2 linked regions of the Stegostoma tigrinum genome follow. The protein of the gene in region 1 purifies or fractionates together with the protein of each later gene. This does not show direct contact. Links are inferred from orthologs where the notes say so. Each region holds a gene or a part of one and is shown in the gene's direction. Other genes may lie near its edges.

Region 1 (11,134 bases):
TTAGCCAATACTTTATCCACGCCAATACTTTGCTCCTAACACCATGGGCTTTTATCTCATAGAGTCACAGAGTCATAGAGTCATACAGCACAGAAATAGACTCTTCAGTCCATCCTGTCCTTGCTGACCAGGTTCCTCATTATGGCTTTCCAAACTTAAACTAGTCCCATTTGCCAACATTTGGCCCATATCCCTCTAAAACCTTCCTAATCATGTACCTGTCCAAATGTCTTTAAAATGTGCATCTACCACATCTTCTGGCAGTTCATTTCACTCACAAACTACCCTCAGTGTGAAAAGGTTGTCCCTCAGGTCCCTTTGAAATCTTCCCCTCACAACTTCAACCTATGCCTTCTAGTTTTGGACTCCCTACCCTAGGGAAAGGCATTATAAAAGATTTTATATACCTCTGTAAAGTGGCCCCTCAGCTTCCTCTGCTCCAGTGAAAGAAGTCCCAGCCTGTCCAGCCTCTCCTTATAACTCAAATCCTCCAATCCCAGTAACATCCTTGTAAATCTTTTCTGCACTCTTTACAGTTTATTAACATAATTCTTTACAGCATGACACCCTGAATTGTATGTAGTACTCCAAAAGTGGCCTCACCAATGTCCTGCACAGCCACATGACATCCCAACTCCTACGGAGGCATGGGATTGAGAGTGATTTAGCGGTTTGGATCAGAAATTGGCTAGCTGTAAGTAGACAGTGGGTGGTGGTTGTTGGGAAATGTCCATCGTGGAGTTCAGTTACTAGTGGTGAACCGCAAGGATCTGCTTTGGGGCCACTCTTGTCATTTTTATAAATGACCTGGATGAGGGCGCAGAGGATGGGTTAGTAAATTTGCAGATGACACTAAAGTCGGTGGAGTTGTGGATAGTGTGTAAGGATGTTGCAGGTTACACAGGGACATAAGCTGCAGGGCTGGGCTAAGAAGTGGCAAATGGAGTTTAATGCAGAAAGGTGCGAGGTGATGCACTTTGGAAGGAGTAACAGAAATACAGAGTACTGGGCTAATGGTAAGATTCTTGGTAGTGTGGATGAGCAGAGAGATCTCGGTGTCCATGTGTATAGATCCCTGAAAGTCGCCACCCAGGGTGATAGGGTTGTTAAGAAGGCGTACGGTGTGTTAGATTTTATTGGTAGAGGGATTGAGTTTCAGAGCCACGAGGTCACGTTGCAGGTGTACAAAACTCTGGTGCGGCCACACTTGGAGTATTGTGTACTGGTCGCTGCATTATAGGAAGGATGTGGAAGCATTAGAAAGGGTGTACAGGAGGTTTACCAGGAAATTGCCTGGTAATGGAGGGAAGGTCTTATGAGGAAAGGCTGAGGGGCTTGAGGCTGTTTTCGTTAGAGAGAAGAAGGTTAAGAGGTGACTTAATAGAGACATACAAGATGATCAGAGGATTAGATAGGGTCGACAGTGAGAGCCTTTTTCCCCCGGATGGCGACGGCTAGCACGAGGGGACATAGCTTTAAATTGACGAGTGATAGATATGGGACAGATGTCAGAGGTAGGTGCTTTACTCAGAGAGTAATAAGGGCGTGGAATGCCCTGCCTGCAACAGTAGTAGACTTGCCAACTTTAAGGGTATTTAAATGGACATTGGATTAACACATGGATGATAACGGAATAGTGTAGGTTAGATGGGCTTCAAATTGTTGCACCGACCTGTGAAACCATCGAGGGCCGAAGGGCCTGTACTGCGCTGTAATGTTCTATGTTCTTGCCTTCATTGGTCAGACCCTTGAGTAAAGTGTGCCAATGTCTTCATCACCACCAAGTCTACCTGTGACACCACTTTCAAAGAACTATGTACTTGAACGCCTAGGTCTCTCTATTCATCAGTCCTCCCCAGGGCCCTACCATTAACAGTTTAAGTCCTTCCCCAGACGGTCTTACCGAAATGCAACACCTATCTAAATTAAACTTCATTCGCCACTCCTTGGCCCATGGACCCATCTGATCAAGATCCTGTTGTACCCTGAGATTACCTCTTTCACTGCTCAGTATTCCACCAATTTTGGTGTCGTCTACAAACTAACTAACCTTGCCTCCTATATTCTCATGTAGATCATTGTACAAAAAGGACAAACAATAGTGGGCCTAGTATTGATCCTTGCAGAACACCGCTAGTTAAAGGCCTCCAGTCTCCGAAACAATCCTTCACCACTACTCTCCGTCTCCCACTGGCAAACCAACTTGTATCTAATTGGCTATATCTCCCTGGATCCCATCCAATCTAACTTTATTAACCAGTCTATCATGTAGAACTTTGACAAATGCCTTGCTAAAGTCCACGTAGACAACATCCACTACTCTGCCTTCATCTATCCTCTTGGTCATGTCCTCAAAAAGCTCAGTTTTGTCAGACACAATTTCCCATGCACAAAGCCATGCTGGCTATCCCTAATCAGAGGCAGCTTGTCAAAGGCCTATTGATCCAAATAGCTCATGTCCATTGGCTCTCCTTTGTCAAACTTGCTCATTAGTTCTGCAAAGAGATTTGTCAGGCATGACCTCCCCTTAAGGAAGCCATGCTGACTCAGCACTTCCAAGTACACTCAATCTCATCCATAACAACGGGCTCTATAATCTTAAAAAAACGACTGAGGTCAGACTAATCGGCATATAGTTTCCAGTCTTCTGCCTCCCTCCCCTCTTAAACAGGGTGTTATATTAATCATTTTCCACTCCTCTGGCACCCTCCCTGACTCCAATGATTCCTGAAAGATCACCACGAATGCTTTGGTCCAGGTGATTAATCCACCTTCAGGCCTTCCTACATCTCCAGCATCACTTTTCAGTGGTCCAACGTCCATTCTTGCCTCTCTCTCTTAGCTACATATATCTAAAAAAAACTCTTGCAATCTTCCTTTATATTACTAGTTAGTTTACACTCATATTTCATCCACCCGCTTTTTTAGTTATACTCTGCTGGTTTTAAAGACTTCCCAGGATAATCTTCACCCATTGTATATTACTTCATTTGCTTTTATGCTGTCCCTGACTTCTCGTCAGCCATGGTTGCTTCGTAATCCCCTTTGTATGTTTCTTTTTTCTAGTGGGCTCTACCACAAGCTGCTCCAACAAAAACACCTCGTAGACATTCTGCAAATTCCTTTTCTTGAGATCCACTACCTATCTGATTTTCCCAGTCCACCTGCATACTGTAGTCCCCCATGATTATTATAAAAAAAGTAATTTTCTTACATGCATTTTCTATCTCCTAGTTTATTTTCTTCCCCATATCCTAACTACTGCTAGGACATAACTCCTATTTGGGTCTTATTTCCTTTGCAGTTCTAACCACACAGATTCTACACATTTCAACTCTTTCTTACTTCTTGCTATCAATTTAATTTGACTTCTCACTAACACGGCAACGCTGCCCCTTCTGTCCATTTGCCTGTCCTTTCAATAGGACATGTTTCCTCAGATGTTTAGTTCCCAGCCCTGATCCCCTTGCAGCCATGTCTCTGTGATGCCCACTACAATGCACCCATCAATTTCAGTCTGCACTACAAACTCATTTATCTTGTTTCATATATAGCGTTTATTGAAGTATGACACCTTCGGTCCTGTGTCGACTGCCCCCTTCTCATGGCTGTCTCCTTATCTGCTGTGCCTGAAGTTAGATTTTTAACATGTTCCATACTCTCTCCTTTTACTTGTTCTGAAAATTTTACTAACCTCTGCTGAGTCCTCCCTGCTTTTAACTTTTTCCATGCAACTGAACCCACCCTCCTAATAATTAGTTTAAAGCGCTGTCCACAGCCCTAGTTATGTGATTCTCCAGGGCTCTGATCCCAGCATAATTCAGGTGGGAGTCCATTCCATTGGAACAGCTCCCTCCTTCTCCAGTACTGGTGCCAAAGTCCTATGAATTCAAACCCGTTTCTCCTATACACCCAATCTTTGAGCTACGTGTTTACTTCTTTAATCTTGCTCACCCTATGCCTATTCCCTTGTGGCTCAGATAGAAATCAGAGATTAACTTTTGGTTCTACTTTCTAATTGAGCCCTTAAGCTGTTCATATTACCTCAGCAGAACGTCTTTCCTCTTTCTACCTATATGGACCATGACAACTGGATCTTTCCCTCCCACTCCAAGTTCCTCTCCAGCCAGATGAGATACCCGGAACCCAGCCAAGTAACATAACATTCAGGACTCTTGATCCTGAAAACACAGAAATGGCTATTCCTCTGGCTATACTACTCTTGATTACAACTACTTTTCTTTCTTCTCCCCCCTCTGGAATGGCTTCCTGTACCACTTTGGTCAGTTTGCTCATCCGCCCTACAGCCCCCACTCTCATTACACAGGGAGCAAGAATCTCAAACCTGTTAGATAAGCTCAAGGGCTGGTATCTCCAGCCTACCTCCTGGATTCCTCTACATGCCTCACTTGTCATCACGTCACCCTGTTCTTGACCGAATTTGAGGTAGTTAATCTAAGGGGCGTGACTGCCTTCTGAAACAGTGTCCAGGTAAATCTACCCTCCATGATGAGTTGCAGAGTACAAAGTTCAGATTCCAGCTCATCAAAAAGAAAAAGGGCTTGCACTTGGGGAGAGCAGATTTTAGTAAAATAAGGCAAGATATGGCCAAGGTAGGCTGGGAACAACTACTATTGGGGCACGGGGGGACATGCACAGGAGATTCATCAAAGTGCTGCCTGGGATGTAAAATTTAAGTTTGAGGAAAGGTTTGATAGGCTTGCATTGCTTTCACTGGAGCAGAGAAGACTGAAAGGTGGTCTGATTGAGGTCTACATAATTATGAGGGGCATGGACAGAATGGATAAGGAGTAGCGATTCCCCTCAGTTAAAAGGTCAGTGACAAGGGTATACAGGCTGAAGGTGAGGAGGAGGTTCGGTGGAGAGTGCAAATGAAAGGAAAAACTTTTTTGGCAACAGTGTGTAATATGCTGCCTGGGTTAGTAGTAGAAGTATGGTGTCTCAAATTCTTTAAAAAGTACTTGGATGAGCACTTAACAGGTCATAGCATTCAAGGTCACGGTCAAGAGCTCATCAATGGGATTAAGTTGAAGATCAGGTGTTTCTCATGTTTCGGTGCAGACTCAATAGGCCGAAGGGCCTCTTCTGCACGGTATGATTCTATGATGTTAACTCTGAGCCACAGTTCCTCAAGCGACCAACACTTGCTAGAGATGTGGTCACCATGAACCATTATAAAACATAAATTTCCAAAACCAGACATCAAAATTTGTAATGATAATGTTGGATTTAGACAAACCCATTTGAGAAGTTTAGGTCACCATGCAAAACAAAGAAAAAAACACTAACCTTTAAATGTATTCTATTGTAATCATCTAGTGTCTTTTTTCAGGGTCAAATTACCCCCTGAAGACATAGTTTTTTACAAGACAGTCAAAACAAACGCTTTCATCAGAAAACAAACTGTATTCCACCAACATTAATTTAAATGTCACATATTACCCATCTCTAATGGAACTAGAGTGGCGTGTTGCTTCATGTGCATAATCTCAGTTATTTCTCTTACCTACAATCAATTACATGATAGAACAACATACTAACATCCTTAAATTTCTTACTGCTTAAAATTCATATCAAGCTAATTTTAAACTTAACCACTAAAGTATCTCCAGTGTTGAAAAAAAACACTCATATCTCCTTGGGAGAGGGACAGGCAATACAAAATCCGGATGAGTCCAAAAACAATTCATTCAGCAACTCACTAGGACAATAGAGTCAGGCTCTTCTATCCTAGATTAATATCTCTCCCAGCTCTCACAAGTGGCTGCAAATGTCACATCCTGAAAATGAGGGCTGGGGAGGAAACACTTTCCCTTAAACTTCTGCCCACTTATTCCACCGAGTCCAACACTTACCCTGGCTGGTCACTGCTAGTGCCTGGCTGTAGCCACAAGGATTCCCAAATGAGCTGTAAAACTCACCAAACTACTAAACCTCCTGTTTCCCAGGAGGGGAGCACGGAACCATAACGCAGAAAATTGAGGGAAGGTGATTATGGGAAGGACCGGAAGTCACCGCCGGTCACGGGGGGAGTATATGTGAAGGACCGGAAGTGGCGGGTTGCTGTAGTAACGGCCGGGGAGGTTGACATGAAGCGGGATTTCGGTTTGACGGTGGCGGGGACGCAGGTTGTGTTGGCGGCGTCTTCAGATGAGAAACACCCGCCGGAGAACATCCTGGACGGGTGAGGATCTTCAGCTTGTCCGTGCGGTTGGCGAACAGGATCGTCCCCTTAGATAACACAGCATTGCGTTGATATAGCGCCTGGCGCGTGCCCTACACCTTGAGAATTTCTAAGTACCCATTGCCCTGCGAGAAATCCTATCAAAGTTGGCTGTTCGTCAGCTTTTTATTTTAGTTATGAAATGGTTGCGTCGACAGTCTGATGCTATTACTTCAGCTCCATGCCCGGATTATGCAGTAAAATGCCTCAATTCTTTGCAGAACCAGTGTCGGGTGGTAGAGGTGGAATTCTCGGCAGAAAGGTAGTTAGATCTATCAGTGAGACTTCTTTCACGGTCAAAAGCGAACACCCCTGCTTTGGTAGAGGTTGCAATATAGCCTAGTGATAAAAAGACCTTTTATTTATATGATAACAGTATGGAGCTGGAGGAACGCGGCAGGCCCAGCAGCATTAGAGGAGCAGGAAAGTTGACGTTTCGGCTCGGGACCTTTCTTCAACACTTTTCACAACCACCAGCTTTCTCAAAGTGTTTTCCAGCTAACTAAGTCCATTGAAGTGTAGTTACAGTTGTAATTCAACATTTAACAGCAGCTAATTGTACGCATTGCAAGGTCCCACAGACAGAAATAACCACAGATTATCTGCGGTTTTGAGAGTGCTAAGTATTGGACAAGATAACTAGGTATAATATTCCGGCTTTTCAAATGCAAGTGTCTCCCCTCCCACTCTGATTAAAGGGAGATTGCACCCAAATGAAAAATGTAGCAAATTTTATCCCAAGAATTGCCAGATTATAGTCCAGAAACTTTGACTGTTTTCCTTTTCTCTTACCCACTATCCAATGCTTGGGATTGTTTTATCAAATTCAAGGTGCTCTATGAATGCAAGTCATTTTCATCTAGGCTCGGCACGAAGAACAGTCACCTGCTAGAACTGGCTATCTATGATACTAATGAGACACAGATTAGAAAAAAAGATGAAAATTCAATAAACAAAAATACCAAGTCTCATACTGTACTTCTGTTCACAGTAATACAGAATCATTTTGGATTACAACAGGAATGTTCCCACAAGAATTTATCCTAAGTTTTGCTAATCTTATAAAAATTAGCTCAATGAAAATTCACTGTTACAATGGTAAGATTTTTGCTGCTTTTTAATTACTATATTTGAATATACTAATGATTTACTATGATAAACAAGCTACTTTACCTCGTTCCATATGGATCAAAGAATAAAGTGCAATGAACAGTAGTTCTTAATTATTCATGATCTTTACCAAGCTTTTATGCATGACTTTGCAAATACCTATTCAGTTTTGAGAGGAGTATATTTCTAGCTATATTTCAGTGTAAATGCATGAGTAAACATTGAACTATCTTGCAAAATTCATGAGAATAAAGTAAGACACCATCTACTCAAAATAATTGTAAATGTTCCAAAAGTAATAAGTTTTTCTTGGTTTACCATTCCAGTGCGTAACCTTGGTATTGAGAGAAGTATAGCAAGAGATCCTGTAGATTTTGAACCATTGAGTAACAATGGTAAGTGTACTCAACAAATATTTTGATAATATTGCCAAGATTGTTGTTGAAAATAGTTGCTTCCGTTCCATTTCTTTTGATGGTTTTCATCCTGTTGTGCTTACTTTTTACCAGAACTTGAGCGCTCTGAGGAACAGCTTCAAGTAAAGGAATTTACAGTAAGTAAATTCTACAAAAAGCTGAGGTAACATATTAGGTATGAAATCATTATAGGTCAGTTCCTCCCCAAAGTAGTATTGAATAGTGTTGTAGCGGTTTGATTTCCCCATTTCTACTGAAGTTTTTGATCTCTATGGTGCTGTTGCAGCAAGCTTCTGAGCGAAGGACAATCACTTTCCCAAGTTGGAAAATGAGGCCAATTCAAATAATGTACACGTACACATTATTAAATTTAACTAAGTGGTTCAAAATAATATTCATTATTTTGGGAATGCAAGGTGCACTGTGACCTAGTTTGCTAAGTAAAATAACATAACAATTCAAGGGTCAAAAAAGGGTAGAGACTTTAATGAATTATAAATACTAGCATGGACTGGGTTGACCAAATGGTCTGTTTCTTGCTGTATTGCTAACATTAATGCCACTCAAATAAAAGGCAATGACTTTCTCCAGCTGGAAATAATCTAACCATCGTCCCTTCACATACAGTGGCATTACTTTGGCTTCACATTGGGATTACCCATCATCGTGTTATGCGGCATTATCACAATGCCAAAATGGGATAGACTTAAACAGACCTAGCAACTCAAGTTTGGCTATTCATAAGGTGCTATGGGCATCACAGCAGCAGAATCTCCAACATAATCTGCAACCACATGACCCAGCATACCCCCATTCAGTTATTACCATCAAGACAGGCGATCAACTCTGGTTCAATGGAGTGTGCAGGAGCAGCACCAGCCATACCTAAAAATAAGTTGTCAACTTGGTGAAACTAAGTAGGGCTACCAAACGGCATAAACAGCAAGTTGTAGGCAGCAAAACTATCCCACAATCAACTGATGAGATCTAAGCTCCACTGTCCTGCAACATCCAATCATCAGTGGACAATTAAACAACTCATCGGAGGAGTCATCTCCAGAAACATTCCCATCCTCAATGATGGCAGAGTTGAGCACATCAGTACAAACAGTAGGGTAGAAGCATTTGCAGTAATCTTCAACCAGAAATATTGAGTGGATGATCCATTGTGGCCTCCTCCAGTGGTCCCACATCACAGATGCCAGCCTTCAGCCAAAGAAATGTTTGAAGACATTGGATACGGCTAAGATTCCAGGCCCAGACAACACTTTGGCAATAGTATTGAAGAATACAAAACTTGCCGTACCATAGCTAAGCTGTTTCGGTTCAGCTACAACACCGGCATTTCCCCAACTGTTTGGAAAATTGCCCAGATATGTTCTGTACATAAAAAGTAGGATAAATCTGACCTGGTCATTTTCCAGCCCATCAATCTATTCTCGATCATTAGTAAAGTGATGGAAGGTGTCATCAACAGAGCTATCAAGCAGCACCTGCTAAGCAATAATCTGCTCAGTGACGCCCAGTTTGGGTTCTGTCAGGGCCAGTCAGCTGTTGATCTCATTACAGCCTTGGTTCAAACGTGGTCAAAAGAGCAGATTTCTAGAGGTGAGATGAGAGTGACCTCAAGACTGCATTTGACGGTGTGGCATCGAGGAGCCCTAGCAAAACTGGAATCCATGGTAATCGGAAGTATGAAGGCAGCTCACCATACCTTCTCACGCACAACCAGGGATGGGTAATGAATGATGGCCAGCCAGCAACACCTACGACCTACGAATGACTAAAATAAATCCCCTGCTTCCAACATTGTGAAGTTGCCATTGACTGGAAACTGAACTGGACTAGTCGCATTAAACTGTGAGTACAAAAGGAAGTCTGAGGTTAAGAATGTGACAGGTAAATGACCCCAAACTCCCCAAAATCTGTGCACGATCTATGAGGCACAAATCATGTGATGGAATACTCCACTTGCCTAGATGTGTGCAGCGCGAATAACTCTCAAGAATTTCTTCCCAGGATAAAATATCCAGCCTGTTTGGCATCCTATCCACCAACTTACTTATACACTGCCTCTCTTACTGATGCAGAGTGTTAGCAGTGTGTGCTTTCCATAAGGTGCGCTGCACCACTCACCAAGGTTCTTTTTACAGCACCTACCAAACCTGCAACTTCGAGCACTTATGCCATGGAGAGCAAACATGTGGGAGCACCACCACCTGCAAATTCTCCTTCAAATCATAACTAACCTGACTTGGAACTAACATTGCCATTCCTTCATTATTGTACATCTCAATCTTAGTACTCCCTTCCCGCTGTGTCTACCTAGCCCCATGGACTGCAGTGATTCAAGACAGCTGTCATACTTTAAAGGGCAAGTAGATGGGGACAATAGATGTTTATTTTTAAATTCATTCTTGAGATATGAACATCATTGACTAGGCCAGTATTTTTTGCCTATTCCTAATTACCCAGAGGGCATTTAAGTAATATCCACATATTACTGTGGATCCAAAGTCACTTGTGGACAAGACCAGATAAGGGCAGCAGATTGTCATCTCTCAGGGTCATTAAAGAACCAGATGGCTGTTGTCAATTGACAGTGATTCCATGGTCAGCATTAGGCTAGCTTTTTATTGAATTTAAACTTCATCTGACAAGGTGGGTTTCAAATCCATATCCCCAGAATATTAAGCCTGGTTTAGGAGTCCAGTGATGTTACCACTCTCCCACAGCCTCCCCTCAAAGGCAGTTTAGTCAGTAATGCCCAAATTCTGTAAATCAGATAAGAAATCACATTATATGATGATATACATCTTGAAAATTGTGTTCTGAGTTGGGCATGCACTAACCTTTTCAAAAAAAAAAGTGTGAATTAATAAATTATATTCTCTATATAGCAGGATGAAACTAGAGCTACACATCTACGATTTATCATAAAGTCTGGTTTTGATCACTTTGTGTCAGTACACAAGGTTACAGTGGAAGGTACAGAGGAAGATGCCTGAGTCTACACTGCACAACTCTTGCTAACAGGACTTGATGGAACATTGATGTTGAGAAAATCTAACTAGTGTACATCCATCTACAGTATATTTATTATAAACCATAATTAGTGGATTGTTATTGTGAATAAATTATTTTGGTTTTGTAATACTGTGCAGTCTTCATTGGTAATTCCTGAAAGTACTCTTGATTAACATCTGAATGAACCATGAGAACTAGTACAAGATCTTCCTGTTTCACTATTGAAGGATTTTTATCTGACATGTCACTTCTGGATCCACCATCAGTATGTGCACTGTACTTTATTACTGTCCACTCTCTTATCATTCTGCCATTCCATGGCCGTTATTTATTGGTC
Region 2 (9,976 bases), on another chromosome or scaffold:
CCAGGTTACAGTCCAACAGGTCTATTTGAAATCACAAGCTTTTGGCGTCTTACTCCTTCTTCAGGTATTAGTGAGAGAGGCCGTATCAACACAGAATTTAGAAGTAAAAGATCAAGGGGTCACACCACTGCTGAGGAGATGCTAAACAACCTAACATGTTGTTAAATCTTTCATAAATTATAAGGTTTTGATTAAATAATATGTATATGTAAATCCACAAATTCCTTTGAAGTCACTGTCCTGAGAGAAGGAAAGATTATATGAATGTAAAGAAGAGGTGACATTTTAAGTCAGACAATGCATGTTAGGTGTCAGGCCTTGTTCAGAAACTGTGTTTTGGTGTTTTGGTCTTGAGTCAGACTGGTTTCAGTTCTAAAGTAAGAATTTATAAAATGTCAGATTGACTGATTGTCTATAAATTGTGTGCTTTTTGAACAAAGTAGAATTTGTGTGTGTGTGTGAGAGAGGCGGGGGGCGGGAAGAGAGAAAGGTGTGTTTGTATGAGCGCATGTGGGGTGGGGTGGTGAGAGGGTGTGCGCGTCAGATAGAAAGTGTGTGAGTGTGTGTGGTGGGTGGTGGGGAGGTGAGACAGAGATTCTCTACAGTGAATATAGATTTAAGTACTCATTTAAATGTAGTTGGACCATGCTGCACTACTTGCTTCTTAGGGAGAAGTTTGTGGAGAAAACCCCTTTGGCCACAAGTTCATCAGGCAGTGGTCAGCATGTAATGTCCTCAAGATCCTTCAGGGAAAGGAGAAGTTCAATCCTCTCAGGTGGTTCCCTTAGCAGACTGTCAAAATCATTTGATAGAATGGCCTGTAGCTAAACCTTATAAGCAAACACCAACATGAATCTTGGCCAGTAATAAATGAGGTCTTTCCTTCAGATCCTTCCTACACACTCAGGGCCTCACCCCCTATACAGGTTGTCCTTCAGGTGGCTGTGTTGAGGAGAGACTGTTGTCCATCTCTTTCTGTGCTGTGCTTTTGCAAAGAAGGTCTGAAGAAAGATGGAATGGTTTCTGTCGCGATTCATTTCAAGCAGGTCCTAATGTGAACTCTGTGCAGTATAGGCAATTCTTTGGTCTGTTTTTGGTCTTTTTGGTCTTCCAGTGCAGTGCTATCCTCGACTGAACGATGCAGACTGGCACATTCCAAGATCCAGGAATATGTGCTGAGTGATGGACTAAAGCTGGAACCAGCTGTCACAGAATGCAGAGCAGGCAGGTCACTGCCTAATGTCATTCAGTCATAGTACTCTGGGGGGCTAGAAACTGTAGACTTTCCTCAGGTTTAAAAGAATGTTTAGTGTAAATCAATAGATTGAAAATATGTTGAGACATTACAATTTGTAATGGTTTGCTCTCAGGTTGTATACCCAAATCAAGTTTATTTTGTAAATATGAAGATTATTACAACCATATTGAATGGAAATGCTCTACAGGGGTAAGGTGAATGTTTTTGCAACTTTTGTAATATTCATGTTGAAGCATTTAGTTGTAAATTTGTAAAATTTTATGCTTAAAGTATATTGTGAAGTATAAGTAAAGTATATAGGGAGAGAAAGAAGCGTGTCTTTGCCGGGTTTGTCTGATTATGGGTTCACAGTATGCCATTTGTAAGGACAACTGATCATTTATATTTTTATTTTTGTTTTATTTGAAACACAACTGGAAAATGAAAGTCTGAGTAGCTTCTTGCAGAGAATGAACCCATTTTTCTTATTCCAACTTAAAGGAAATGTTGAATGGCTTGGTCATTTACATGTTATACAAAGGCATGTAACTTTTTAAATTGAGAAGTTAGATTTGATTATTTTATGAAAGTTGTTGGCATCAAGTGCTTTTCAGTTGAAACTAAAATAAACTATCCATCAATATCTTTTGGAATGGGTTTAAACAGCAATTTGTCACAATAAGAGGAGACACAGTTATTGAACTATGACTTCCAAAAGTCTGCAAGCAAACAAGATCTCTCTCTTTCTCTCTGAGAGGAAAATAAATGACACTCGGAGATTTTGGAAACACAGAAATTTCTAAAGCGCATCAATTTGGATTCTTTATCAACAGAATTTATTCCTTTTTGCCTGTGTTTTCCACCCATATTTCTGCAAAACAGGTATATCTTTCCTAGTTGTGAATGAATTATGTGGCTGTTTTTGATTTAAAGGGGATAGGGTTTAAGTTTGTATTGTAGTAACTAATAATTAATTTTGCCAGTTGTTGGCAGATGTTTGTTCTAGTAATTGTTTTCATATACGGCGATAAAACCTGGAGTAACTTTATTTTTACCTCGACAAGCGTCAGAGTTAGGTTTTAATCATCTTGGAGATGAAACTGGTCATATTTCTTTTTTGTAAGAAGTTGTGGAACAGCGGAGCTTGACTTTCATCAGGATCCTGATCATGAGTTTCTACTTTTAGCCCCATTAATCTTCTGAACGAATAAAGGCTAAATGTTCAGATCATGGGTATCCACTTGCAAACCCTGTTTCTGTGAATGACAGATTTGCTGGACGCTGCAGTGAATATCTGTGACTTATCCTTAGGAGATCGACTCTTGCTGACTTCTTAAAAAACAGTCAAGTACATAATAAAATGTTTATTCATGTTTGTCATGATAATCACCACACTGAACTGTACTGGCCACATCCTAGAGCAAAGCCCTCATTCAGAATTTTCACTGAAAGTTAACATGTGGTAATCACTGCAGCAGACTTTGCATTTGGAACTTGGGTGAGAGTCATTGGCTCTCTATAAATGTTCACAGGGTTTGCCCTCACAGAGTATGGGAACACAAAGTGTGATGTGGTCTGAATGCAACAAAGAACCAGTGCTAACTTGGCAATTGGGTATTGTGGGAGCTCGGTGCAGAGGGGAGGCGAATGCTGCATTTTATATTTCTGCCAGCCTCCTTATGTTCAAGGCTATAATCAGAGGAGCAGCAAGGAGGCTGTTTCGGGAGTTTTTAAAATGCCATCCTTTCAAAAGCAGATAATTGTTTAAGGTAGTCCTGTGGCAAGAGATATTACAAAAACTTTATAGCTTAATTGGTTACATTACATTCAAACTACTGACAACAGTTGAGTAATACTTATGACCATTTTTGACAATACAAATTCAATGGTTCAAAGGGCATCTTCCGTACTGTGATTCTATACAACCTAAATACATACATTTTCTTTCTAGCTTGTACCATATCACATGGGGTCACCACAATATTCGTCGGTCACTTTGAGGTCAATCAGTAGTTTGGATGTGACTGCTGTTTTTCAACTTGATGCCCTTCCTGCCACTAAATCCCACCTCCACCATTTACCTGTGCTGGCTGACTCGGAATCTCTGCTACCTTTACCATTTGCCATTGGCAGGATTTAGAGGTTGCTGTTTGGCAAGACTGTGCACATATCTTCTTGGCCAACAAGTGATGAAGGGAGGGTCGAGTACTGTATGTTTTATAGCTAAGTCTGTCGAAGAGGTTCTCTGTTAAGTAGTGTAGGAGAGTTTCATTTATTATTGTCATGTACCCAGATGCAGTGAAAAGTGTTGGTTTGCATGCTATACAGGCATGTGGTACCATGCAAAGTGCATCAGGGTAGCAGAACAGAGTGTAGTATACATTGTTACAGCGAGCGAGCGAGAGGCGAGGCGAGGCGAGGCGAGGCGAGGCGAGAGCCCGTGTGTGCATACTCAGCGTTTACATTTGAGAGGTACATTCAAAAGTCTAGCAGCAGTGGGGAAGAAGCTATACTTGAATCTGTTCATTCATGTATTTAAACTTCTTTATCTTCTGCCCAGTGGAAGAAGATGAAAGAGTGTATAACCAGGGTGGGAGGGGTCTTTAGTTATGCTGGTTGCTTTCTGAGGCAGTGGTAAGTTTAGATGGAGTCAATGGATGGAACGCTGGCTTGAACTGAATTGAATTAGCTTTATTGTCATATATACTAAATTGAGTACAGTGAAAAGTTTTATACATCACCACTTACAGCCCCATATTAGGTATAAAGGTACAGCTTCTTTCATTACAAGATCCTAGAAAATAGAGAAATAAAATGTCTAGTGTTACAGAACTAAAAGTCCAGAACCTTCCAAACCATACCAAGCTAGCACATAGCCTCCAGTTTGCACTAGGCCCTGGCTCCAGACTGTGGTGGGTTTCACCTTGAGGATCGTGAGGCTGGGAGACTGCTTTGGTGCCACCTTAAGACTGGAAAACCGTGCCAAGGCCAGGCCAGGCCAGGCCAAGAGACCTCTATGCTCGGCTGATAGGATGCCACACTGGGCAGCTGCCTCACTACACTGCGAAGTTGCCATGGGATGCCACCACGCCAGGCCAGGAGGTCGCCACTACAGGCTGCTATGCTTCACAGGACCAGGAGGCCAGTACACCAGGCCAGAAGATCATCACACCATGGCAGGAAGCCGATACTTCAGGCTGGGAGGTCGCCATAGTACGCTGCAATGCAGCCATGGCAGGCCCCTCGTCATGTCTGCACTGGGGTTAGGAGTCATCGGAGGCTGGGAGTCTTTGTTGAAGGCTGGGTTTGCGTGATTGTCTGGGCTATGTTCATGGGACAGATCACGTAGTACAAATCTGGAAACTTAAAAAGCAATGGCAAGGCAATAGTGCAGGATAATGATAACCAAAGTATCACAGAAAGGAGCAGAATGTACAATAGGCTCAAAGGAAACAAAAACCCTATCTGATGTGTGCAGCATTTGTAAGACAGATGACTTAAAAGCTTACATTAAAACAAATCATTGTGATAACATAGTTATTACAGACACAGTGACTTAAAATTTCCTCTGACTTTTTTAATGACAGAAAACAACCAAAAAAATTAAATAAAAACTTCTGCAAGTATACGCCTATTTATCTTTCCTGGGATGCGACTGCTACTGTCTGTCAATCGTTAATTGCTATCACAGAATTCATTCATACACTGCAGAGAGAACACCATCAAGCCTGCACCAACATGCCTAGAGCCCTAGCCTATCCCTGTAACCCCCGAATTTACCTCAGCTAATCCACACAGGCTACACATCCATGAACACCACAGACAATTTAGCATGGCCAATGCTCATCTTTAAACTTCGGAAGGAAACTGAAGCAGCTGGCAGACATAAGAGGGAATGTGGAAACTCCAGAAAGCGGAAGAGCAGAGGTGGGATCACACTGAAAAGGAACTTTTTAACTCTGAAGCTGTGGCATAGGGCTGGGGTTGTGAGCCCAAGGGACCTTAAACTATCAATGTCCACCAGCCTTTCGGTGGTGGAGGAACACAGGGACAGGAGTAGGCAATTTAGCCCTTCGAGCCTACCGTCTATTCATTCGGGCCATGGCTAACCTGTGGCCTAACTGATCTAGGCCCAAAGCGTCTACCTTCCGGCTCCGCTGATGCTCCTTGACCTCTTGTGTTCATCCGCGGAGGAGGCGGGGATTTCGACGCCGCATCGGAGACGTTCGGCGGCAAACGGCCGGGGGAGGGCGGGGTTTTCAGCCCCGGCGGCGGGTGAGGCAATTTCCATGGTAACGGAAGCGGCGGTCACCTGACCAGCCGCCATGTTTAACATCAAATTGTTGCTGCTCGGACCCCGAGAGGTACGTTAAAGACGGGCATGGGAGCAGGGGGAGGGGGAAATACGGGAGAAAGAGTGGATGAGTGAGGAGGACAGTTTGTGAGAGAAAGAGAGCGCGATGGGGACGGGGGGCTGATGGGGATATGGGGTCAGGGGGGCTGATGGGGATGGGGGGGGACTGATGGGTTGGGGGGTCTGATGGGGATATGGGGACGGGGGGGGCTGATGGGGATATGGGGACGGGGGGGGCTGATGGGGATATGGGGACGGGGGGGCTGATGGGGATATGGGGACGGGGGGGCTGATGGGGATATGGGGACGGGGGGGCTGATGGGGATATGGGGACGGGGGGGCTGATGGGGATATGGGGACGGGGGGGCGATGGGGATATGGGGACGGGGGGTGCGATGGGGATATGGGGACGGGGGGTGCGATGGGGATATGGGGACGGGGGGTGCGATGGGGACGGGGGGGCGATGGGGATATGGGGACGGGGGGTGCGATGGGGATATGGGGACGGGGGGTGCGATGGGGATATGGGGACGGGGGGTGCGATGGGGATATGGGGACGGGGGGTGCGATGGGGATATGGGGACGGGGGGGGCGATGGGGATATGGGGATGGGGGGGCGATGGGGATATGGGGATGGGGAGAATGGGGATGGGTGGGCGATGGGGATATGGGGAGAATGGAGATGGGGGGGCTATGGGGATATGGGGGGTGATGGGGATATGGGGTTGGGGGGGAATGGGGATATGGGAATGGGGGGCAATGGGGATATGGGGATGGGGGAGAATGGGGATGGGGGGACGATGGGGATATGGGGATGGGGGGACGATGGGGATATGGGGATGGGGGGACGATGGGGATATGGTGAATGGGGGGGAATGGGGATGGGGGGTGATTGGGGGGAATGGGGATTGGGGGGTGATGAGGATATGGGGATTGGGGGGTGATGGGGGAGAATGGGGATTGGGGGGTGATGGGGGAATGGGGATATGGGGATTGGGGGGTGATGGGGGAGAATGGGGATTGGGGGGTGATGGGGGAATGGGGATGGGGGGGTGATGGGGATGGGGGAGAGTGGGGATTGGGGGGGTGATGGGGGGAATGGGGATATGGGAATGGGGGGGCGATGGGGATATGGGGATGGGGAGAATGGGGATGGGGGGGCGATGGGGATATGGGGAGAATGGAGATGGGGGGGCTATGGGGATGGGGGGGTGATGGGGATATGGGGATGGTGGGTGATGGGGATATGGGGTGATGGGGGGAATGGGGATATGGGGATGGGGGGGGCGATGGGGGAATGGGGATATGGGGATGGGGGGGGCGATGGGGGAATGGGGATATGGGGATGGGGGGGGTGATGGGGGAATGGGGATATGGGGATGGGGGGGCGATGGGGGGCGATGGGGATATGGGGATGGGGGGGAATGGGGATGGGGGGGGAATGGGGGGGGAATGGGGATATGGGGATGGGGGGGCGATGGGGATATGGGGATGGGGGGGCGATGGGGATATGGGGATGGGGGGGCGATGGGGATATGGGGATGGGGGGGCGATGGGGATATGGGGATGGGGGGCGATGGGGATATGAGGATGTGGGGATGGCGGGGGATATGAGGATATGGGGGAATGGGGTTATGGGGATGGGGGGGAATGGGGATATGGGGATGGGGGGGCGATGGGGATATGGGGATGGGGGGCGATGGGGATATGGGGATGGCGGGGGATATGAGGATATGGGGGAATGGGGATATGGGGATGGGGGGCGATGGGGATATGGGGATGGCGGGGGATATGAGGATATGGGGGAATGGGGTTATGGGGATGGGGGGCGATGGGGATATGGGGATGGGGGGTGATGGGGGTATGGGGATGGCGGGGGATATGGGTGATGGGGGAATGGGGATATGGGGATGGGGGGGAATGGGCATAATAGGGATGGGCGGGAATGGGGATGGGGGGGTGATGTGGAGGAGCGGGGATATGGGGATGGGGGGGTGATAATGGGGATATGGGGAATGGGGGGTGATTATGGGGATGGGGGTGATTATGGGGATGGGGGGTGATGGGGACGGGGGGCTGATGGGGGGAATGGGGATGGTGGGGTGATGGAGAAATGGGGAATGGGGATGGGGGGGATGGGGATTGGGGGGAATGGGGATGGGCGGGAATGGGGAAATGGGGATGGGGGTGTGATGTGGAGGAGCGGGGATATTGGGATTGGGGGGTGATGGGGAGGTGATGGGGGGGAATGGGGGGGAATGGGGATGGGGAGGTGATGGGGGGAATGAGGATGGGGAGGTGATTGGGGGGAATGGGGATATGGGGATGGGGGGGAATGGGGATATGGAGATGGGGGGGAATGGGGATGGGGAGGTGATGGGGGGGAATGGGGATGGGGAGGTGATTGGGGGGAATGGGGATGGGGAGGTGATTGGGGGGAATGGGGATATGGGAATGGGGGGGAATGGGGATATGGAGATGGGGGGGAATGCGGATGGGGAGGTGATGGGGGGGAATGGGGATGGGGAGGTGATTGGGGGGAACGGGGATATGGGGATGGGGGGTGTTTGGGGGGGAACAGGGATTTGGGGATGGGGTGTGATTGGGGGGAAACGGGGATATGGGGATGGGGGGATGGCGATATGGGGGATGGGGATGCGGGGGTGATGGGGGGGGATGGGGATGCGGGGGTGATGGGGGGGGATGGGGATGCGGGGGTGATGGGGGGAATGGGGATATGGGGATGGGGGGTGATTAGGGGGGATATGGGGATGGGGGGGTGATTGGCGGGGATGGGGATGGGGGAATGGGGATATGGGGATGGGGGGGTGATGAGGATATGGGGATGGAGGGTTGATGGGGATATGGGGATGGGGTTTGATGGGGATATGGTGAATGGGGGGGGAATGGGGATGGGGGGTGATTGGGGGGAACGGGGATATGGGGATATGGGGATGGGGGGGTGATGAGGATATGGGGATGGGGGGTTGATGGGGATGGGGGGTTGATGGGGATATGGGGATAGGGGGTTGATGGGGATGGGGGGAATGGGGATGGGGGGTTGATGGGGATATGGGGATAGGGGGTTGATGGGGATGGGGGGAATGGGGATGGGGGGGTGAGTGGGGGGGAAGGGGGATTTGGGGATTGCAGGGGTGATTGGGGGGGAACGGGGATTTGGGGATGGGGGGGAACGGGGATTTGGGGATGGGGTGTGATTGGGGGGAATGGGGATATGGGGATGGGGAGGTGATGGGTATGGGGAGGTGATGGGGGGGAATGGGGATGGGGAGGTGATTGGGGGAATGGGGATATGGGGATGGGGGAGTGATTGGGGGGGAATACGGATATGGGAATGGGGATATGGGGATGGTGGGGGATATGGGGATGGGGGGGAATGGGGATATGGTTTTGGGGTTGGTGATGGAGGTGGAATGGGGATATGGGGATTGGGGGGTGATGGGGGGGAATGGGGATGGGGGGGTGATGGGGGGAATGGGGATGGCGGGGTGATGGGGATATGGGGAGAATGGGGATGGTGAGGTGATGGGGATATGGGGAGAATGGAGATGGGGGGATGATGGGGGGGATATGGGGAGAACGGGGATGGGGGGATGATGGGGGGGGAATGGGGATATGGGGAGAACGGGGATGGGGGGGTGATGGGGGGGAATGGGGATATGGGGATCGGGGGGTGATGTGGAAGAGCGGGGATATGGGGATTGGGGGCTGATGGGGGGACAGGGAATATGGGGATGGGGGGGGATTGGGGATGGGGAGGTGATGGGGGGGGAATGGGGATATGGGGATGGGGGGTGAAGGGGGGGGAATACGGATATGGGGATGGTGGGGGATATGGGGATGGGGGGGAATGGGGATATGGGGATGGGGGGGTGATGGGGATGGGGGGTGATGGGGGGTAATGGGGATATGGGGATGGGGGTTGATGGGGGAAATGGGGATATGGGGATGGTGGGGGAATGGGGATATGGGGAAGGGGGGAATGGGGATATGGGGATGGGGGTGGTATGGGGATATGGGGATGGGGGTGGTGATGGAGCGGGGAATGGGGATATGGGGATGGGGTTTGGTGATGGAGGGCGGAATGGGGATGGGGGGGTGATGGGGGAGATATGGGGATGGGGGTTGATGGGGGGGGAATGGGGATATGGGGATGGGGGGGTGATGGGGGGGGAATGGGGATATGGGGATGGGGAATGGGGATGGTGGGGTGATGGGGAGAATGGGGATGGGGAGGTGATGGGGATATGGGGAGAATGGGGATGGGGCGGTGAAGGGGATGGGGCGGCGATGGGGATATGGGGAGAATGGGGATGGGGGGGCTATGGGGAGAATGGGGATGGGGGGGCGATGGGGATTTGGGC

Evidence for each region. Proteins that work in one complex are often made in the same cells at the same time.
Region 2: the proteins of hspb11 (region 1) and ift22 purify together in Homo sapiens (affinity purification with mass spectrometry; 3 studies listed by BioGRID and IntAct, with this or other methods). This does not show direct contact. The link is inferred for Stegostoma tigrinum from reciprocal best matches to the Homo sapiens genes IFT25 and IFT22.

Annotation. Positions count from the first base shown.
Region 1 is NC_081361.1:41,474,445-41,485,578, forward strand, and holds the start of hspb11 (intraflagellar transport protein 25 homolog), read left to right. Parts: upstream 1-6,068; 5' UTR 6,069-6,110; coding exon 6,111-6,205; intron 6,206-7,235; coding exon 7,236-7,342; intron 7,343-7,680; coding exon 7,681-7,749; intron 7,750-7,863; coding exon 7,864-7,907; intron 7,908-10,670; coding exon 10,671-10,778; 3' UTR 10,779-11,134. UniProt on the Homo sapiens protein: Component of the IFT complex B required for sonic hedgehog/SHH signaling.
Region 2 is NC_081380.1:1,221,583-1,231,558, reverse strand, and holds the start of ift22 (intraflagellar transport protein 22 homolog), read left to right. Parts: upstream 1-5,481; 5' UTR 5,482-5,562; coding exon 5,563-5,601; intron 5,602-9,976. UniProt on the Homo sapiens protein: Small GTPase-like component of the intraflagellar transport (IFT) complex B.